Linked DNA regions of Tribolium castaneum. The protein of the gene in region 1 purifies or fractionates together with the protein of each later gene. This does not show direct contact. Links are inferred from orthologs where the notes say so. Each region holds a gene or a part of one and is shown in the gene's direction. Other genes may lie near its edges. The genes, in order: E3 ubiquitin-protein ligase MARCHF5 and Drp1.

The links.
Region 2: the proteins of E3 ubiquitin-protein ligase MARCHF5 (region 1) and Drp1 purify together in Homo sapiens (affinity purification with western blotting, with the first as the bait; 3 studies listed by BioGRID). This does not show direct contact. The link is inferred for Tribolium castaneum from reciprocal best matches to the Homo sapiens genes MARCHF5 and DNM1L.

What each region holds. Positions count from the first base shown.
Region 1 is NC_087395.1:24,411,298-24,422,219, forward strand, and holds E3 ubiquitin-protein ligase MARCHF5, read left to right. Parts: upstream 1-3,711; 5' UTR 3,712-3,950; coding exon 3,951-4,115; intron 4,116-4,160; coding exon 4,161-4,594; intron 4,595-4,788; coding exon 4,789-5,107; 3' UTR 5,108-5,311; downstream 5,312-10,922. Other genes in the region: trbd (ubiquitin thioesterase trabid), read right to left, coding at 1-268; l(3)07882 (nucleolar protein 14 homolog), read left to right, coding at 967-2,622, 2,670-3,160, 3,210-3,365, 3,411-3,510; 2-aminoethanethiol dioxygenase, read right to left, coding at 5,414-6,109; uncharacterized protein C2orf42 homolog, read left to right, coding at 6,580-7,279, 7,326-7,750, 7,800-7,922, 7,971-8,219; retinol-binding protein pinta, read right to left, coding at 8,599-9,432. UniProt on the Homo sapiens protein: Mitochondrial E3 ubiquitin-protein ligase that plays a crucial role in the control of mitochondrial morphology by acting as a positive regulator of mitochondrial fission and as an important regulator of immune response.
Region 2 is NC_087398.1:8,854,660-8,866,380, reverse strand, and holds the start of Drp1 (dynamin-1-like protein), read left to right. Parts: upstream 1-4,448; 5' UTR 4,449-4,646; intron 4,647-11,721. Other genes in the region: protein RRP5 homolog, read left to right, coding at 1-43, 98-231, 282-491, 547-675, 725-983, 1,034-1,199, 1,260-1,422; propionyl-CoA carboxylase beta chain, mitochondrial, read right to left, coding at 1,692-1,813, 1,883-2,081, 2,129-2,337, 2,443-2,648, 2,829-3,016, 3,067-3,186, 3,231-3,503, 3,548-3,661 and 1 more. UniProt on the Homo sapiens protein: Functions in mitochondrial and peroxisomal division.

The sequences.
Region 1 (10,922 bases):
CGTGCAAATTATTGGCGGAGACTTGCTGGGAAGCCCCGCACTGTTGGCAAACCAGCTCCCGCAACGGATTGGCAAAAGAGCAGCCCTCACAGGTCCACTTCCGCTTCGCGGGCCCCGCGGCCGTCAGCTTCTCGTCGCTGCCGTGCAGCCGGTAGATGTCCTCGCTGACGAAGGGCTTGGGCCCCCGGCACATGGTGCACTTGATGGACGAGGGGTAGTTCTCGTATGTACAGTACTCACAAGCCCATTTCGCATCGCTTTCGCTCATTTTAACGGTTTTGGCTAACCTGAGTAGACAAACGGTGAATTCAGGGCTATGTCATGAGTTTAGCATAGTTGTGAGGGGGCGGACGGGGCTATTTCCGGGGCTCCATCGTCGGGGTGATCACCTGCAAAAGGGGGTCGGGTTAGGGCGGGCGCGCACGGGGGCGGCGGGACCAGGCCGGATGGGCGGAAAGTGACGCTTTTTCCAAATCACGCTCTATCGCTTATTTCTCTCTCACCTTCAACAACAGGGTCAAAGAAATGGTTTTGGAGTGAAGGCACAGTGATTTATGTCTAGTGTAGATCGGAAAACAAATAATTTAGATACCATTTGTGTTCTAATCGATAAGCCTGATGTCAAATCAATCGGAATTTTACAAAAAAACGTCAAAATATTGCTATTTTGACAATCTTCATCACCTGTCCACTTCGTCCATTCTCGACTAAAACAGCGAACTGCCTTACCGGCGCCACCATTGCCAGATTTAACGCGGCCTAAAGACCGTTTTTACGCCCAATTGGCCACTAAAATAATCACCAAAACCGCACCCAAACTCCTGGTATCACCACACAAATTACCGAAGAAAAAATCACAACTTTGGCCACTTTATTAAAAAAAGTCACTCGAGCGATTTCCGGCAACACGGCCACTTGTCACTAGTTGTCAAAGCATAACCTCACAAAAACACGTGTTTTGTCACCATGAAGCCGCGCAAAAAACCCGAAAAAAACGCCCCCAACCCGTTCGAAATCCACATCAACAAGCAAAAAATGACCGTCCTGGGCCAGAAAAACAAAAACGATCGGGGGCTGCCGGGAGTCTCACGCGCGAAAGCGCTCAAAAAACGCAAAGAAACCCTCCTTCAGGAGTACAAACTGCAAAACAAATCGAACAAGTTTACGGACCGGAGGATCGGCGAGCGGAGCCGCGACCTGACCTCTGAAGACAAGCTGATGGCCCGGTTCACCGCCCTTCGGAAAAAAGCGCACAAAAAGTCGATTTTTAACCTGGCCGACGACGAAGTTCTGACCCACAAGGGGCAAACTCTTGCCGAAATAGAGAAATTCGACGACCCGAGGTCGGATAACGAGGACTCGGATGAGGACAAGTCGGGTAAGCTGGACTCAGCGTTTGTGGGGGACGCGCACTTCGGGGGCGGCGTTTTGCGCAAAACGGGCAAAGAAGGGGCGAAGACGCACCGAGAACTGATCGACGAGTTGATTGCCGAGTCGAAGAAACGCAAAGCTGAGAAGCAACGCACCAAGGAGGCGACGCTCGAGCTCACTGAGAAATTGGACACGGAGTGGAAGGACTTGCTGCCGCTGGTGAGCAGGGCCCAGAAGGGGGAGCCCGACAAGGGGGCCGTCGACGACTACGATAAGGTCATGCGTGAGTTGAGGTTTGAGGCGCGCGGGACGGTCTCCGACCGGTTGAAGAGTGAGGACGAGGTGGCTCAGGAGGAAAAACAGCGGTTGGAGGAGTTGGAGGAGAAGCGGCGGGAGCGAATGCGGGGGTTTGAGCCCAAGACTCAGAAGCACCGCAGTGCTGACGATTTAGACGATGATGTTTACGAGGCGGATCCTGAGTACATGCTCAGCTACAACACGGAGGGGGAGGCAAATGTGGAAATTGGGGCTGAGATAAACGGGAAAACTGTTGGTGGGGAAGAAAGTGACGAAGAAGAAGAGTGTGAAGAAGAGGAGGAAGAACAGTCCGATGATGATTTGGCCGATCTTAAGGCCGAAACGAGCGACGAAAGTGACGAGGAAACCGAAGCCAAGGCCACAAAGACTGATGTTGTTGCAAAAACCGACGAAACGTCGGCCGACCTGCCGTTCACGTTCGCACTGCCTGACTCCTACGAGGCCCTCCAGCAACTCCTCGACGACAAATCGAGTCGCCAACAAGCCACGATTCTTGAAAGAATGGTCAAGTGCAATCACCCAAGTCTCGCCGAAAAAAACAAAAACGGACTTGGCACACTGTTTGTCTATTTATTGCAGTATTTGAACGATTGTGCGTCGGAAAAAAGCGCTGCCCGTTTGTTCGAAATTTACAAAAGTTTGGCTCCGCACATTTTTGATTTGGCTCAGCTAAATAAAGAAAATACCCACAGTTCGATGCTTGAAGTGATTAAGGAAAAACACGACGAGTTTAAAAAACGACCGAAGGATTTTCCCGGCTTGGAGTTGTTGGTTTTTTTCAAGCTGGTCAGTTTGTTGTTCACAACGTCCGATTTTCGGCATCAGGTTGTGACCCCGTGTTTTGTTTTTATTGAACAAATTTTGAATAAGTGTAAAATAAAAAGTGGCAAAGATATCGCGTACGGGATTTTTTTAGTGACTTTGGTTCTAGAGGTGAGTTTTTGGGTTGGTGGGACTGTGTTTAAACCACCGATTTTTAGTATACTTCACTATCGAAGCGGGTTTTACCGACTGCGATTAATTATCTCGGAGGGATCTTGCATATGGCGATCCCCAAGTGTGGGGTGAAACTAATCAAAGTCAATCCTCCCTTCAAGCCCACGACAAGTTCTCTAGTTCTTGTTGAAAAGTCTTGCGAGGATTGTGATTTCAAAATGGAAGCTTCTGATTTAGAAAGGGACGAAATTAACGATTCTTTCAAAATCAGAGCAATTTATACTGTTTTAAGGCTAGTTCAAGACTTTGACAATAATCTAGTTTCTCTGCCCTCAAATGTTGAGATTTTTAACGATATTCGAGCGTATTTGGAGTTACTACCGACGCGAAATTACCCGAAAAAGGTCGCCGATTTGTTTGAAAGCGTTTCACAACAATTAAAAAATCGCAAAGTTGAGCGAAAATTAGAATACATTGTTTTGGCAGCAAAACGACCGAAAGCGCTACGCTTATATGAACCTAAAATTGTGGAAGTGTGAGTTATCATTATTTTTTTTTTGTTTTTCGTTAGTTGATGATTGTAGATTTGATGGTAAAAAACGTAAAATTCAATCAAGGGAAAAAGCCGAGCGTGACAAATTGTTACATAAACTTAAGAAAGAAACGAAGGGTGCATTGCGTGAAATACGGAGAGATAAGGCGTTTCTGGGACGTGTCAAAATTCATCAACGCATACAAAGGTAGGCAAAAAAATTATTTTCCAGTTATGACATTATTTTCCGTAGTGATAATGAGCGCAAGGAAAAAGTTAAACGAATTTATGCCGAAGCTTCGATCCAGCAAAGCGAATTGAACAGTTTAGACAGGAAGAAGAAACGCAAGTGAGGCTTTTAGCCCCCTTTAGAATTTTGTAAATAAAAGTATTGTTTTTTAAAGTGAGTTTTTATTTCGTTTAAACAATAAAAATTACTATATATACATTTGAGTTTCATTTATCCATTCCAATTGAAAAAAAAAATGTTTGAATTTTTGTCCAATTACAAATTAGGTTCCCTAAATATAAAAAGTGAGGTTACCTCTAAAGTAAAAAAAAATGAACGGAACGATTTGGGCCTCAAATTCTGCGGTACCACAGGCACAAAAGTGATTAAATGCCCCAATTGCGTTGTCAGTGCCCCCCAGCCTCATTTTAGCCCCCTTTTAGTGACTTTAACTGTCACAATCTGGCGCACCTGTCCCGCTTTTTGACACTTTTTTGACATTCGTTAAATTTTCGTATTTTGGAAATCCACTCTCCTCAACATGCCTCTCCCCATATAAGCCCCATGGACCCCCACGACTCATTCGAAAGCGCCACTGACACCGCGCCCCCCATCCAGCTCAAACCGCGCGATTCGCGAAAATGCTGCTGGGTCTGCTTTGCCACCGAAGACGAAGACTTGGACGCACTGTGGGTCCAGCCGTGCAAATGCCGCGGCACCACCAAATGGGTACGTGCCCCCTGACCCGCAAAACGCCTCTAACCCCGCTTCCAGGTGCACCAATCGTGTCTGAAACGCTGGGTCGATGAGAAGGAGAAGTCGGGCCATGGGGGCAAAGTGGTGTGCCCCCAATGCCAGACCGAGTATATCATAGTCTTCCCGAATATGGGGCTGTTTGTCTTGTTGCTAGACACGGTAGATGGTGTTATTTTCCGGGGCTCGTTGTTTCTCGCAGCGGGGATTGCGGCCAGTGCGATTTACTGGACGGGGGTCACGTATGGGGCCATAACTGTGATGCAGGTCATAGGACACAAGGAAGGGATTGATTTGATGGAGCAGGCTGACCCCCTTGTGCTCCTTTTGGGGCTTCCCTCTATCCCGGTAGCCCTGATTTTGGGGCGCCTGATCTGCTGGGAAGACGCCGTTTTGAAGTTCATGAGACGGCATTGCCCCAAAATCCCCATTATTCACAACGTACTGCCGTTCAGGTGCATATTTTTTACTTAATCAAGTGGCCTATGCATAAATAATCGGTGTTGCCAACTTTATTTAAAAGTCACAGGTCACTTCGTTTAGAAAAAAATCAGGTGGCCTATGACTGAAATGAAGTTGGCAATGATTGGTGTTGGCATTTTTTTTGTCACAGGTCACTTTGTTTAGAAAAAAATGCGTATGTTTTTAGGGGTGATGTCCTCCAGAGTGATACAACGGTCGATAATGACCTGCCTCCAGTCAGCAGCCCTGTCTCAGCGACGCGAATTTTATGCGGGGCTTTACTCATGCCTACGATAGCGAATTTATTCGGAAAATTATTTTATAGTTCAGTGAAATCGAATTTTCATCGAACGATTTTAGGTGGAATTACTTTTATCACAGTTAAGGGATTTTTAAGGATTTATCATAAACAACAACAGTACATCCGGCAATGCCAACGCAAGATTTTAGACTACACTGAAGCCAATATTTCTACTTATTTACATCATAACAGAAATTCTGATTAAATTAATTAATAGGACAAATATTTTTTATAGGTTAATTAGTTGAGCATTCCTTGTTTATTTGACTTGAATTGATAAATTTCGATCAAGTGACCCGTGACGGCACGGGTCACTCGATCACTTGTTAAACGAAATATTTTTGCAAGTAACCAAGACTTCAGATTTATTAAAAAAGCAGTTCTGTTGAATAAAACATTTTTAGACAAATTTTAAACTTAATATGCGTTATCTTATCACAAGAACGGAATTATACACTGGCAAGTCCTAAGCTAAAGAGACTAGATAACAGAAATTAGATTAAGCCCTTCGCTAGGACAAGTCCGGTCCTGTGTAGGGAAACGAGTCAGTCCAGTACCAACTAGGCGAGGTGATTTCCTGCATTCTGAACACACTGGGGGCCACCTCCCTCAAGACCCGGAAATAGGAGCACTTGCGTGCCCCATTCCCCGGAATAACAGTCTCGTAAGGGGGCGCCAAAATGTCAATGAACGCCGCTGGGCCCCCCACACTCTCAATCTCGTGTAAATTCCGCACTTCGGGTTCAAGCACACAACACTCACTGTGGGTTTCTAGTAAATTCTCGGCGCATTTTTCGGCTGTTAGGAACTTCGACCCTGGGGGGGCCTTCCCGTCCACTTGCCGCGTCTTTTCAGTGTTTAGCGAGTAACTGGTGACTTTGAGTTTCCCCCCGACCACCTTAATGAGCCCGTGCATCTGGGGGTGGTTGTGCAGGGGCAGCTTCATATCGGGTTTGAGAATGAAAATGCCGATTGTGAGGTTATAATCCTCGTAGATGTCAATGTAGGTCACTGGGGCCTTGTTGGGGCGCTGCCACAGGGCCTCTGTCATGAACTGGGGGTGCAGGTTCACGTCCTCGGCGGTGGTTTTGTCCAAAAGGGCTTTGAGGATCTCCATGTTTTGGAAGAACAGCTCTTTGTTGGTGAAGGTGGTGACTGCTTGTTTCAAAACAGTGCCGATTTGACTCGTTAGCATTTTTATCAGCATCAGGTCAAGGGAAACAATGTTTGGACGGTTCTAAGGAGCGAAAACTGGAAATAAACACGGGGGCTATCGATTGATTGGAAATTCAAAGTGACAGAAATCAGCTGGACGCGGCTAAACGCAGGATGCGATCTGTCAAAACAATATTGATCCACAAATTTTGGGCGAAGAATTAGTTGTTACAAAAACCTTGCGTGTTATTTAATAAAGAAATGAAAAATTGCTTGTGTTTTTATGCGAGTCAGTACATAATTTTGTAATTTAAATAATGTTTAAATTTCAAAACGACCGAAGCGCCCTCTCTCAAAATCAAAAATTCAAATTTAAAAAAAAAACATAAACCATAGGATAAACTTGTAACATGTGTTATAAATAAATTGATGATTGTCAAAAAGCCAGACTTTGTTTGCTTTCGGCCCCGCCCGTTGCCCCAAATTTTCTTGGCTTGCGTCTATTTATAGCCCCTCAGTGCTATGAATGCGACCCAGTCCATTTACACCTTCCTCCCTGCGTGCTCCTCTCCGGCCAAACCCTTCGCCGATTTGGGCCGGCCCACGAAACGGGGCATAAAAAAATGCCCCAAGTGCGGCATCTACAACGGCACCCGGGGCATGATCTGCAAGAACAAGCACTGCGACGCCGTGTTCAAAGACTACGCCGACAAGCGCAAGTTGAGTCTGGACGCCGTGCGCCTCGTCGGGATCGTGCGCCAGGTGTACTCGGTGCGGGTGCGCGACCGGGGGCCCGACCACCGGGGCTTCGTCCAGCTGCCGCTGCTGAACCCCGAACAGGACGCCCTGTGTTTCGTTGATTCGTGCCAGAGGCTGTTCGACGACTCGATTCTCAAGTGCCATGAGCTGGAGCACAGCGAGACCGCGCTGCTGTGCGTCCACATCGACGCGGCGATTAAGAGCCAGAGCATGGCAGCCCCCATTGAGGTCCAAAAGGAGGTTTTGGCCTCGTTGAAGGTTTCGAAAGAAATTAAAGCGAAGCTGTGGCAGTTGGCCACGGAGAAAGAGGGGCCTCTGGTGCAGAGAGTCTCGCGGACCGTGATGGCGGTCAAGTGCCAAGTGAGCCCCAAACACCCCCTGGGGTACCTCCACTTTACCTTCGGGTGCACGAAAGGCCGCGAGATTTACGACAAGTATTACTGCAGTTGTACCGAATTTATGGGTAGCTTTTGCGAGTCAGTGGGACGTTTCGGTGATTTTTGGACCAGTTTCAGGGATTATAAGCAAGGCGAGCAATGTCCGACTCAAATGTGTGCACTATTATGCGTGCATTTGTGCCCTTGCCAGCGACCCGAAATGTGCGCAAGAGTTTAGTCATTTCATTAATTACGAATTGGAGAACGGCTCCGAAGGGCCACAAGTTGAAAGTGTTAAAAGCACGCCTAAACCTGACAGGGTGCCGAAACTGAAGGTGGTTGAGCGAGTGACGAAACGTCCAAAATTCAAAAAACTGGTCCCTAATGTGTTTCCGGTTGAAATCAAAGTGCTGGAAAGTGTGGAACAAGTCGCCCCAAGTGGGGGAATTTCGTGGGGGTTTATCGAATGGTTGTCTTATGTGACTGAATCCATAAACCAAACCATGCACTTCGAGAATTACGGCAATTTAAACACTTTGGTTTTTTGCATCCCTGAGGTTTGGGCAACGAAATCTTTTATTAAACTTGTTCCGATAATTTTTTTAGGCATTTTTTCAAGAATTTACTAAACGAATTCCAAGTATCTATCGGGAAAACGAAGTTTTTCCTGCCTTTAACTACCGAATTATGAACATTTTGCATCTCAAAGAGATATTTGATACTCCAGATGTGCGTATTTTTTATTTCTAGAGTTGGCAAAATGAATGCGTGTTTTAGGTCAAGTTGAAAATTTCCAAGAGATTTATTCATGACAATCAAAAGGGTTACATTGAGTACGATGTTGATGCAAACATCAGTTGTCAGTCAAGTTTTATTTTTTTCCTAAATGTTGGACAAACCACGGTTGACGAGAGTGACAACACGAATAATCCCTTCTTGATCGAGTGGATCCCCGGAGTCACCAATGCCACAAAAATTGGACAGTTGAAGTTGCAGTATAAATATGGGCGCAAAAGTACTACTTGAATATAATAATAAAACACTGAAAGACTGAAAAAAGAGTTTTATTTCATCACAAATTGATAATCATCACATTAGAATTAGAATTCTCAGGATGACGTCATGATCCAAAAATAGCCATGACCTCATGATGTAAAAATAGCAACAACATCAGGGGATTCACGTACCTTTCAATGTGGGATTCCCCAAAGTGGCGCATGCGCAGACAAAAACAGCGTCAACATCGGGGATTCCCACGATTTCCACAGGGGATTCCTTGAAATGAGTTATAATTTTTTTTACTGGAGATAAGTACGGAATTTGAGTAATAAAGAAACTAAAAGACTGAGAGAAAAAGCGTTTTATTTATTTTATCACAATAACCACTTTGTAAATTAGCTAAAAACTATTCGGCTTTATATTTTTCGTCCTCGGCAAACCACTCCTTCTCCTCCTCCAGCCGGGCCACCCAATGCCCAATCACCTCCTCCAACGTGCCGTCCTCCCCTCCATACTCCTTGGGCAGAACCTCCTTGGGCACAATCTTCAGCACGTCCTCCCGCCCCCCATAATGCACCCTAACCCTCCCCTTCAACTTCTCACTCATAAACCCCTTAAAAATGCTCAAAACCACATTAATATAAATCGGCGCATTCACAAACTCCAACTTCTTCGGCCTGCAGTGGTAATTCTGCCACGACCTCACCGCCTTTTTGATAATCCCGGGGGTCATCTGCCGGCCATGCCAGAACCCCACTCCCTCCATGTCAAAAATCGCCACAATCCCGTAGATCTGGCACAGATGGTCGTCTCTGGTCGCCACGTCCAGAATCATATTTCCCGCTTTGAACACGTCGTCCTGGCGATGCACTCGCGGGTCGTGCGCTGCGGTCCGGATTATCACGACGAGTTGGTTGTCGTGGTGCTTCCGCAGAGGCACGAAGACGCCGAGCCTCGTCAGGGCCCGGATCTGGGGGTGGAGGGGGTCGCGGTTGGAGTACCACTCGGGGATGTCCCGACGCATGGTGTAGTAGTCGGAGAGCTTGCCCTTGGTGCGCTCCAGGTCGAACTTGCAGGCGCGCAGGAAGGCCAGCAGGGAGCGCTCGTCGGGGTTGACGTGCAGCTGGGGGTTGGAGGAGATCCAGAGGCGGAGGGCGGCGAGGCCTGCGGCGAGGGTCTCGGGCGTCTCGTTGAGGGTCTGGCGGGCGTAGGCCCGCGCGGAGTCGGCGAGAGCGGTCATTGAAGCGCTTTGTTCATTGTTGACTGGGAGTTTAGACGAGGTCGTGAGAATCCCCACTACGTCAGAATTGAGTTAACTATTTTTCTAAGCGGACCGAGTGTGAATTGGATGTTAGAGGAGATAGTGTTATCGCGTTGTTGGGATTGTAAATATTATAAATTATAAATAAAGTGCGCGCGATTTGTTATCGGCTCGATTAATAATAAATATCGAGGAACAGAACTATCATTTCTTTCCAAAGTCGATCCGAGATTTTTATGCACTTTTCAAATCTCTAGGACTTCGTATTTTAATCAGTAATCACTCTCGAGAATGCAAAACATTTACTCAGGTCCACCGAAGTTTTTTTTAATAAAGGTATCACTATGCCTAATTTTAGGCAAAGAATTTTAAAAATTCAAATATTGTAAAAAAACAGTACCTACAGTGGGAGATATTTACGTATGGGCTAAATGGGCGGAATTTTAGGGGCTGCAAAAATATCTTTATTTTGATTAAAAAAATGCCTAGTATATACTCGTAGACGTCGTGTATTTTTTTAATCAGTTGCCCCAATTTTAGTTTTTGTCGTATTTTTTTTACTTCGTATATTTTTAATTAATGAGTTTTAAGTTTTTTGTAATTCTAAGTCATATTATGATGAGTATTACTAGCAGAAAACGCCTGAGTAATACACAATACAGAAAAATGTCTTTGAAAAAAGTCAGCGGCAACGTAAGATTAGAAAAAAAAGTGAAAAAGTGGGTACGTTTTTTAAAGCAGAAAACTTTATTAAACAAATAGACATTTTTTTTGGAACTATCTTGCATTTGTAGAGAACTTGTGCTAGAAATAGGTTTGTTATTTCATTCAAACAAACGAAAAAAAGGATATTACTGAATTTAAAGAAAATCAACCAATAAAATTCATGAAGTAAAAGTTGAGTACCTATAACATGTACGTAAAATGAATTATTTTATTGAAAAAATACAAATGCCTTTATAAAAGAAGTATCAACATGGAATTGAAATTATCTATCTCAAAAATTTGTTGTAATTTTCACTTTTTTCACTCTTCAAACGTCGATTACGGCGATAATGAAGTTAGCGAGAAATATCAATTATACTGTTAGTTACGGTATAGAAAGCTTTATTGTTCAATTTTTTATTTTTCCAATTACGGAAAACTGTTTGAAAAAAGGTACAAAAATGTAAGATTTTTTACTCCAAAGTAAAGCTAATTTTTTGAGAAATTGTTTTACGTTATTATTCTCCACATGAAGCTTTTTTATTTTACCAAATTTGCCATTTACTTGCAATTTTATCGAAAACTATTAGTCGGAGAACAATAATCGTTTTTGTAAAAGGTAGATAATCAAAAGGGCTTTCTAACGAGAGTTATCTCTAATAGTCCAGGAGTTATTGCTCGATATACAGCGTGTTAGGGAATGGTTTAGCAAAAATTTGAAGATAGATATAGAATCGCAAAACAAATCAATAAAGTTATTTTTT
Region 2 (11,721 bases), on another chromosome or scaffold:
TCTAAAGAAAATATCTCCGATAGCGAGGACGAGGATAGTGCTAGTACGTTACCAGTTTATTGTTGGGGTAAATATTTAGAAACATATCAATTTTCAGAACCAAAAATTACAACTCTTGATCAGTCAAGCAATGCAGAAACACCAAAGGAATCTGTTTTATCCGGCGCGCAGTCATTTTATTCGACTGAAGATAATAATTTGAAAGAAGAATCTTCTGAAGAAGAAGAAGAGGTTTGTAAAAACAAAGAGAGTGAAATACTCTTAACAATACATTGTTACAGGAGATTGACCAAAGTAAGAAGAAGAAAAAACTTACGCCAGCAGAAAGAGCAGAAATAGCAAAGAAAGAAGAAGAAAGGATTTCCAAAATAGAAAATGAATTAGCTGATTCAACGATTCCACCACAGAGCGCAGAACAGTTTGATCGACTGTTACTAGCCAATCCTAATTCGTCGAAATTATGGTTGCAGTACATGTCTATGCATATCGCGGTAATTTTTTTAGATACTCTACATACTTTACAATAGACCAAATTTTAATTTTTAGACAACTGAATTGGACAAGGCTAGAGCTGTAGGAAAACGCGCTCTGGATACAATAAATATGACGCTAGTTAAAGAGAAGTATAATGTTTGGATCGCTTTACTTAATCTAGAAAACATGTACGGAACCAAGGTGAGTAAATCAAACACATGACACGATTTTAAGCTGTTTCTTGTGTTAGGAATCGTTTGATAAAACTTTCGAAGAGGCAGTTAGATGTAACGACTCGTTGGAAATATATTTGAACGTTATACAAATGCTTGCAACATCTGGGAAGTTGCAAGAAATGGAGGAAAAAATTAAGAAAGTTAGGGCCAAGGAAAAACAAAACACTAAAATGTGGTTGGAAATAAGCCGAATTTATTATTCTTTGGGGCAATTCAAAGAGGCCCGAAATGTGAAAGAATCGGCATTGAAGTCAATTCTGGACAAAAAACGACGTAAGTTCGTTACGCTGTGTTAAAGTAATGTTACTGTACCTTATTTTCAGAATTTGATCTCATTGTGAAATTCGGAATAATGGAATTTCAGTTGGGTGAGTTAGATCAAGCGGTTGCTAATTTCGAAACAATTTTGGATACTTACCCAAGTAAGGTCAATATTTGGATTATTTACGTTGACCAGTTGGTACGAAAAAAGAACTTTGAGGCCGCAAGGTAAATTAGAAATCTCCAATGTAACGTATCTGTAGGATTTTTTCGTATTTATTTTTTTAGGAAAACTCTTGAAAGAGCCATTAGTCAAAAGTTTGCCATGAAGACTATGAAAGTGCTGTTCCAAAAGTTCATTAGTTTTGAAGAACAGTATGGGAGTCCCGAATCGGTAGAAGACATCAAAAGTAAGGCAAAAGAATATCTTGCTTCGTTGGGTGTCAAATGATACAAAGTATAAAATAATTAAGCAATTTAAATATGAAATAAACAGCAATTCATTTTATAACTAATTTGAGAATCTACCTACCCCTCCTTGACTTTAATTTTTTTTTTTTTTCATAATTTAATTACGTTCAAATGTTTGGGGTGTAAGACTTCCATAAAGATGAGTTTATTTTTATTGTTTTAGAACGTTAAAATAATTTTGTACAAGTTACAAAGATGAGCATCTGTTGTTAAAATTAAACTAGAAAATATAAAATTATAATAGACTAGTTATAAAGGCATATTGCCGTGCTTTTTTGGAGGGTTCACTAGTTTTTTTGTTGCTTGGACTTCCAAGTCTCTGCAAAGTCGCCATCTAGTTGTACGTGGCTCAATAATGTCATCGATAAAGCCTGAAAACATTAATTAATTGAGCGGTCTGTTAATAAAAAAATGTTCGTTTTTTACAGCTGTAAACGTACCTTTTTGGGCAGCAGGTATAGGGCTGTTGAACATTTCTGTATATTCATTAACATATTCTGTAACATCGCTTTCATTTCGGTGCAAAATTGATACAGCGCCCTTAGCTCCCATCACGGCAATTTCAGCTGATGGCCAAGCATAATTAACGTCTCCTCTCAAATGTTTGGATGACATTACATCATAAGCTCCACCATAAGCCTAACACATATTTCTTGTCAACTGTTAACTAAACATTTGTTACAAACTTTTCTGACAATCACGGTGAGTTTGGGAACTGTAGCTTCAGCATAAGCGTACAATAACTTCGCTCCGTGTCTGATAATTCCCGCATGCTCCTGAGAAATTCCTGGCAGAAAGCCTGGGACGTCAACTAAAGTAATAATCGGCAAATTGAACGCATCACAGAAACGCACAAATCGCGCCGCTTTTACGGACGCGTTAATGTCCAAACAACCTGAAGTTATTTACTTCATTTGTACTGTATTAAGTACTAATTAAAATTAGTTCATAAAGTGTTACTTTTATGGTAAAAACCACATTTTATGAACTACCAATTTACCAGCGGCGACTTTTGGTTGATTTCCAACGAAGCCGACAGATCTGCCATTCATTCGTGCAAATCCAACCACAATATTTTTAGCATAATTTGGCATTATCTCAAAAAATTCTCTTTCGTCCACTATGCAGTGGATTATGTCCAGCATGTCATAGGGAGCGCTAGGTTCTAGCGGAATTATTGAGTCCAGAGCCAGGACATCTAAGTCACTAGAATTTAAAATAATTTAAAGTAAAATACTACGGCCTTACTAAGGTATCGACATTTTTTTGTAAACATTTTTATCTAGAACGCTAATTTTTCGTAATTTATTTCCGGTTTACATCAAGATAATCTTATTGCAACATTTATCACGTAATATGATTAAGTGATTAAATAATTGTATTAACCTTCGATCGTCGCAAATCCTAATAGGTGCCGGGTGATTACGTGACTGAGGTAGATAAGTTAAAAAATGTCTTAATTGCAAGAGAGCGTCAATATCATTTTTAAATGACTTATGTGCATTTCCCGATATTGTTGTATGTGTTCGGGCACCACCTAATTCCTCTCTAGTGACTTCTTCGTTATTCACTGACTAGAAATGATATCAAAGCGTATAAAAAATACTTTGTTTAAACAATTTACTTTGATCACATCAGGGCCTGTAACAAACAGAAACGAAGTGTCTTCTACCATAAACACAAAATCTGTGAGCGCCGGTGAATAAACAGCGCCTCCAGCACATGGACCCATAATTAGTGATATCTGACAAAAAAATAATTATCTTAAATACAACGTAATTAATTAACCTGGGGAACAACTCCGGAGGCCAAAACATTTCTCTGGAATATATCAGCATATCCAGATAACGATTCTACGCCTTCTTGTATACGCGCGCCTCCGCAGTCATTCAGTCCAATAATTGGGGCACCGTTTACTATTGCTTTGTCCATCATTTTACAAATTTTCCTCGCATGGACACTCGAAAGACTTCCACCAAACACGGTAAAGTTTTGACTAAATATGTATACTGGGCGTCCATTAACCAAGCCATGACCTGTAACTACAGAATCGCCTGGAAACTATGTTAATAAATGAAAAGCTGTTGCAGTTTTTCCTGTGTTACTTTTTGTTTGTCCATTCCAAAATTTGTGCAAGTGTGTTCTACAAACATATCGTATTCCACAAAACTGTTGTCGTCAAGAAATAAGTGAATACGCTCGCGTGCTGTTAGTTTTCCCTATAAAATGATTAAATTGTTACGTGGACACTGCTCTCAAGCCATTGTAATTTTTTTAATTTTTTGCTCTAATGCCGAGGTAAGTACGCAACTCAACGGAAATTGAACAGTAATCGCATGCAAATAAATATTAGGAGATTCTTTAAAACAAGAAATTATGGACCTGTTATTACAATATAAAAGCACTGACCTTCTTATGTTGTTCATCGATTTTATTTAGCCCACCTCCTAAAAGAGCTTGGTTTTTGATTTGATTTATTTGTTCAGCAACCTTAGTTTTATAAGCCACATTTGTGGCACTTTTTGAACCATACCTCACAATATTTTTTGTTGTTTTTGATAATTTAAAATTCTTTAGAAAATTGGCAGACATTTTATTCTTTCACAAGTTTAGCAGCTGATACCTCGTCAATAAACAATATATTTGAGATAAGAAGAACGCAGTTTTTACCAGTTTAACGAATTCCATTAAGATTCCATTAAGGATAATTACAATAATTAAATCGTTTGATAATTTTTTGCAAGCGACTTTTTTCTCAAAACTGGATTACTTTTTTAACATTTTTTAAAGTTTCTCCCCATACAATTTGCGGAGTGTTAACATTGATTGAGTAATAAAATACATGACTATTTTGAAAGTAGTTTTTTTGCAACATTTTTTGTTTTAAACTTGGTTCAATTCTCTTAAATATTTCGATAACACGTAAGTATTTGAATATAACGCCACACTGTGCCGCTAAAATTTAATTTGAAATAAGTGTGAGGATACCAACAGAATACCAGTAAAACAACCAACAATGTCACCAAAACTAAACTGACACAAAAAATCTGATTGTCCGCTTTTCAGTTGTGGATTTAACGTTCAGAGCAATTCGTTTATTAAAATTAACGCCCAGTTTTATATTGAGTGTTGTGTGATTTTAAACGATGCTGGTATAGCTACCAGTCTGTTTAAGATTGATAGTTTAAAAACTAGCTCGCAGTATTACGGTGACGATAGCACTTTGGAAAGAGCTAGCACCATGAAATTTCCAGCGGACCAGTCAAATCACGGATGTGCGTTTTCAGCACTTTGCGACGTTGCTACGTTTCTCACAAATTATAAGAAAATAAATTATTTACTCATTTTCTTTTAAAATTCAAGTGTATTGTTATTAAAAAAAATAAAGTAAATGCAATTTCAAACTTGTTGTATCTTTGAAAGCAATGGGGGATGTAGATAGTTTACTAGTTGACACAAAAAGGTGAAACCGCCTAATAAAGGCAAAACAAAAACGAGGAGGGCATGCTACCCAATTATTTAGGGGGCAGATTCCACCTAAATAAGATAATTATTCGTTAATTTCTTCTTCAAAAACATTATTTGAAAAAAAAAGTTAATAGAACGACATACTAATTCAAACAGAGGGTTAGATGTCTTCCCAAACTTTTAGAGGATTGAAATTTTCAAGAAAGGTAGGTATTTAATGGGCTTTCATGTGGAATGGGTTAAATGCGTCGACAAAAAGAAATAGTACTAGAAAAAAATATTTAATATTATTAATAAAATGTTGACATATTTCAAACTAAGGGTTGGATGTCTTCCCAAACTTTTAGAGGGTTGAAATTTTCAGGAAAGGTAGAGTATTTAATGGGCTTTCATGTGGAATGGGTTAAATGCGTCGACAAAAAGAAATAGTACTAAAAAAAATATTTAATATTATTAATAAAATGTTGACATATTTCAAACTAAGGGTTAGATGTCTTCTTAAACTTTTAGAGGGTTGAAATTTTCAGGAAAGGTAGAGTATTTAATGGGCTTTCATGTGGAATGGGTTAAATGCGTCGACAAAAAGAAATAGTACTAGAAAAAAATATTTAATATTATTAATAAAATGTTGACATATTTCAAACTAAGGGTTGGATGTCTTCCCAAACTTTTAGAGGGATGAAATTTTCAGGAAAGGTAGAGTATTTAATGGGCTTTCATGTGGAATGGGTTAAATGCGTCGACAAAAAGAAATAGTACTAGAAAAAAATATTTAATATTATTAATAAAATGTTGACATATTTCAAACTAAGGGTTGGATGTCTTCCCAAACTTTTAGAGGGATGAAATTTTAAGGAAAGGTAGAGTATTTAATGGGCTTTCATGTGGAATGGGTTAAATGCGTCGACAAAAAGAAATAGTACTAAAAAAATATTTAATATTATTAATAAAATGTTGACATATTTCAAACTAAGGGTTGGATGTCTTCCCAAACTTTTAGAGGGATGAAATTTTCAGGAAAGGTAGAGTATTTAATGGGCTTTCATGTGGAATGGGTTAAATGCGTCGACAAAAATGGAAAGTTAATTTTGTAAGACATAAAAAAGCCAGTTGAAGCCAGTTTTGCACTTTTATGTCAATCAAATTACAATTCGTCCGAAATTCTGTATTTGTAATTATTATTTTTTATAATAATTATAATGCTTATCTCTTTCTTGGCAGCGACCTTGTGATAAGTATCTGGGTAATAATAATAAAATCACAATTCGTGCATTTTGATAAATTATAAATTTTTGAAGAACTGCTTTTCTCGTAGGTACCTTAAAACGAAAATTAGTTTATTGAAGTCGTGTTAATGAGCCGATTTTTACGAGATAAAAAGGTAAAAAGGGTATACCGATTATTTGGAAAACATTTTATTGGTCTACTTAGAATCATCCCGGCTTCCCGGCTACGCGGTATTTTCTTAGAATTTAGAGTAATCGTCTGCTACCTTATCTCTGTCTGCTATAACGAGTTATACCGATTCTCGATTCATCTGAATTTGCAGTTATTGCATGGCTTTGGTGATAGCAGGTGTATTTTGCTGAGCTTTTGCGCGAATTAATTTTGTAAGAACCTTTTTGCTTTTCGGAATCTTTTCTTTTGTTTTTAGTTTATTGGTTTTGTTTTCAGCATTTATAGTCGTTAGTTTTAGAATTTTTAGATTTTTTAGTTTTTGAATTTTTGGGTTTTTTTAGTTTTAGAATTTTTAGTTTTTAGTTTTTTATTATTATTTTTGTTGTCTACTTTAAAAAATGCCCAAGAATTTTGATTTCAAGGAATTAGCCGATTTTATCAAAAGTTTGGCTCCTAATACATCACTTACATACATCGCAAATCTACCTTTAAGTGATCGGATTATTCATGAATCTTCTATTTACATGTTCCGCCTTTCTAAACCTAGCAAACGAAGGTTAAACGATTGTAAAAATCGTATTAAGAAAATTTTGTCGCGGAACGAAGGAAACATAAAACAGTTTTTCCATAAAAAAATCGTCGAATCCAAAATCATTTCTAATAGTCCCGTTTTTTTTGATAATCATTACACTACTGAAAAAAATGATTTTTCAATTAACTCACCAGAATCCACCAATCAGTTTTCTTCTTTCGATAATTACAATGATTTCCATATTACCGATTTTTCAGTGAATGACGTTCCAAATTCAATAAAAAATTTATATAACCAACCTAATAAATCAAAATTTACTCTTTTGCCAGAAAATTCACAAAATGATATATCAATAAAACGTTTAAAACCAATGTCTTTTAAAAATTGTAATATTAAAGAAGGCACTTTTTCACTAAGTTATGAACAATTTAATGACATTAAATTTAATAATTCTTTAATTAACTATCAAATTACTGTGAGGAAGAAATTTGCAACAGTTAATAATATTTGTCCTCTTAATTTTAAAAAACACCAATCAGACAAGAAAGGAAAAAAATTTACAATTTATGCATATTGTGCACATGAAAATTGTAAAGTGTTTATCATTAAATTGTCGCCAGAAAAACATGATATTATTGGAACCGTTTTTAGTAATACACTAAATTATCGGCACGATAACCAAAAAAGGACAACTTTTGTGAGAAATTTTGAAAGACAGCTATTAGGAAATAAATTGCAGACATCGACTCCATTCATGACACGAGTTCGGGATACAAATTTTGTTCCCTCGGATCAAATTCGCGCAGGAAATTATGATAATATAAAATCCAAACATGTGTACAAAAAAATCAAGTCACAGACTCTTTCTAAATTAGATAGAGATACAGACGAATTTTTCGATCTTATAAAAATGTCGAGAGAAAACCGCCAGTATATTTATCGCGTTTTTGAGCCCCTAACAGTGTATTTATTTAGTATTGAACAGTTAGAAGTTATTAAACATGCACTGTCTCAAACAAATAATGGGTTTATAGTTTTACATTTAGATGCAACCGGAAGTGTCGTCCATTCTCCCCCTGAGACGAAAAAACGTGTTTATTATTACGCTGGAGTGGTACACATCAAAGATAAAGAACTTGTTTGTCCTGTTTTCGAAATGATAACTTCCGAACATGATGGTTATTCTATTGGTTCATGGTTACAGGCTTTTGAATCATTTATTGTTAAAAGTAAACAGCTAAAATGGCCCATTTTTTCTTATGTGGTTACCGATTTTAGTTTCGCTTTTATTAACGCCATCACCACACAGTGGAATAAAATGGATGATATTAGTGTATACTTAAATATTGTATACGATTATATAACATCAGAAACGACTGTTCGACCAAAAATCACTTTAAAATTATGTTGCGCTCATTTTATGAAATTAATAACAAATGACATTAACAAGATTTGCGGTAGCAATAAAACTCAAAAAAAATTTTTCAAACATTCTATAGCAGCTGTTTTTATGAAAACATCTTTACCTGAAGTGGAGAAGTGGTTCAAAAAGATGGTTTTAATTACTTCAAAAGAATTTTTAGATCTCGATGGGAAATTAAGCAATGTAATAAGCAAAATGTTTGATACATTAAATAATAGTAAAGATCTAGAAGACATAGATGAGGAAACTGAAACCGAAACTGAGGACACCGAAATTCCCCATACACTTTATCAAAAAAGCAAGTTTTATAGACATTTTTTCAAAATATGTGAACAAGATAAGAAAATGATTAATAGTGCAATAGATTCAGATAATATCAATATATTCTACAATCCTCTGATTTTAGATCTCATTTTAAAAAAATATTTACCAATTTTACCTCTTTGGTCAAATATTTATCCAAATTTACGTGATCGTGATAGTATTGGAAGATTTAGCAATGCGCCTGTGGAAAATTGGTTTTGTCAGGTGAAAAATAATATTTTGAAGCCAACTGGACTAAGACTTCGAAGTACTAGATTTATTCGAGTAGTTCGAGAAGTTGTCTTGAGTAAATCAAAAGAATGTGCACTTAATATAGATAAAAATCAATGTGCTATCATAAAGAAAAAGCGGATACAAACAAAAAATATTGATTTAGGATTAGAATCAGAAGAAAACTGGAACAAAAAAATTAAATCCGAAAAGAAAAAGTCATATTTTGAAAAACCAATTAACGAAATTCATCCTTCCCGTTCAAAATTCAATTCCAAAGTAAAAGAAATTAAAAACGTAGATTTTTATAATAACAATTTAATTCGAGATGACAGGTATTATACATTGGGAAACTCAGGCGTCAATTACGTTGTAGGATATTATTCTAATGCTCATCCAATGAAAGAACTTTACCTTGAAGATTTCGAGACTTTGGGAAATTTTAAAAATTTTAGAAAAATGTGGCTATCAAATTTTCTTATGGACATAAGTCTTCATGTTTTATATACAAAAAATCAACATAAAGACACTGTTCGTATCATCACAACGCATGAAACATTATCAATTTTTGAAAACACTTGTCCAAAACTTACTCACACACTAGAAGGAATTTGGTTGTTGCCTTTGTTAATAAATCAAAACCATTGGTGCTTTGTGATAATAGACTTTAATAAAAAAACATTTAGTTTCATTAACCCACTCAAAATAAGCAACCTTAATCAAACTGAAACATACTTAAAAAAATTTTTATTAGGAATTAGAGCACCAAGGCGATTTTCTTTTACGCATTGGAGATGTAATATTTTTAAACATCCTGTTCAAAAAAATGCTTACGACTGCGGTGTTTATGTTTTATTATTTGCAGAAAAATTTATAAAAGAGGAAAATCCAGATTTGTATTCGTGTTATGAACCAGAAGAATTTCGAATCATTTTAAGAAATTTGTTATTAGAAATGTCAGATGATATGGAAAATAGATGTTTGATTTGTGGGCAATTAAATTTAAATGTGACAACAGATTGGGTAGAGTGCGACTCCTGTAAGCGCTGGATCATGCTAAACTGTCTACCTCCAAGATTAGCTCCTTCTAATATTTCTGAAAATTTTACATGTTTTGCCTGTCAAAATTATCAGAACCTGTAGTTTATTTCTTTATTCTTTATTCTTTGTACCATATGATTCAATACGGGTGATTCAAAAGTGTCGTACAATCTGTTAAAGGACATCTGTCAAAGGTCAAAGGACATCAAACTGAATTGAAGGTTCCTATGGCAAAAAATTCTATTAGCCTATTTTCACAAGATAATGTTCTTTAAAGTTAAATTTTTCTTTTAATTTTTTGGTGTTTCAGATCATGTTTTTTGACTTTAGTTAGTACAAACGACACCTCTGGCAACAGATACCTGTTGAAAAAAAAACACTAGTTAATGTCTTATGATGTACGAAACAATTAAAAAACTTGCAAATTCGACAATAAATTAAACTCAACGTCATAAGAAACAAAAGTCGATACCGTTGCTAAGGAAAACAAATTAAAAAATTTTAATTAAAAATTAAGTTGCTTGAAAAAAAAGTGACTTCATTTTTATGCTTAATTGAACATCTTTTATCAGTTTATCACCATTCGAGAGTGTGTCTGCACTTTTGAATCACCCTGTCTTATACCTAATTTTTAATAAGTGGTGGCTATGAAAACAAAAATTATGACAACGTGGGTGTAATTTCAATTTTTGGTCTAATAAATTGTATGAGATTTGTCATTAATTCACAAAAAGTGGCGCTGAGCTTGTTTTACACTGATTTGAAATATGTACTTTCTGTTTCAAAACTATAGAAATATAGAACTAAAAAATACATTTTATCAACCTTATTAAAAAAAATCGGTAAAATGCGATGTTAGCATTTTCGTAATTTTGCAACAGGGAGTTATCATTGAATGCCACTAAGGGTTAGTTGCATAATTAAACAACACTGTCCCCGGTCATTCCTTGGAAGGGTGACTGGATAATGTCATGCCAAAAACATCGCAACTAACTCGTCTTTTGAAGAAGACGCGGTCCCGTTCACTATTAGTGGCCGTTAGGTCTGGTCAGAGGCTGTCGATGCGACCTGAAAACTCTGACACTTGGGTGATGACATTACCACCATACCCATATTTATTTATTTATTTTTACCACAGAGAGGCAAAAATGAAAAAAACAGACAAAAGGAAAATAGTTCGTACTGAAAAAATTATTAAAACTGTGTGACAAGTAGTAGAGAAAACACTGACTTGTTTACCTATACCGGTGGGACACGGGGGGACAAACCTTATTGCCAAAATGGCAACGTTGCAGGTTCATAATTTGAGGTGAACTACATCACAAAAGCATGATTTTTGTGTATAACAAGAATCTGTGATACAACTGAACACTACTTACAAAATTTGAGTGTAAAGCCTTCATTATTTCATAATTTTCATACAGAACAAATGTTAAAAGTGTTAGCTAGAAGCTAAGCTATAAAGTTTTAAAACTTTTGTTTTCTATTGCCACTGTTTATTAGAAATTAAATCTATCATACGGTATTACTCCGCTTTTATTGTTGAAGCACAGTAATTTTTAGTTTATCTAGGCTTGGGCATTAGTGCATGTTGCATAGGTAACAGTGGCGTTCGTTCTTATTTATTAGATAAAATCCAAGATTTTTAAAATTTCCAGATAGTAAAACTGGGGACGAGCAAAATGGAGATTATGTATTTGTTTTAGTAATTTTAATTTTGGAAATTTTAGAAATACTACACAATTTTTTAGTTATTTGTTCGGTGCTTGCATGATATGGCTTATATTTTTTTAAATAAGAATTAATTTTAAGTTTCCTCTCTCAGAATTAGTGCCTTGTCGCGGCGAGAGAGCTTACCGAGTAATATTTATTAAAGACATTCC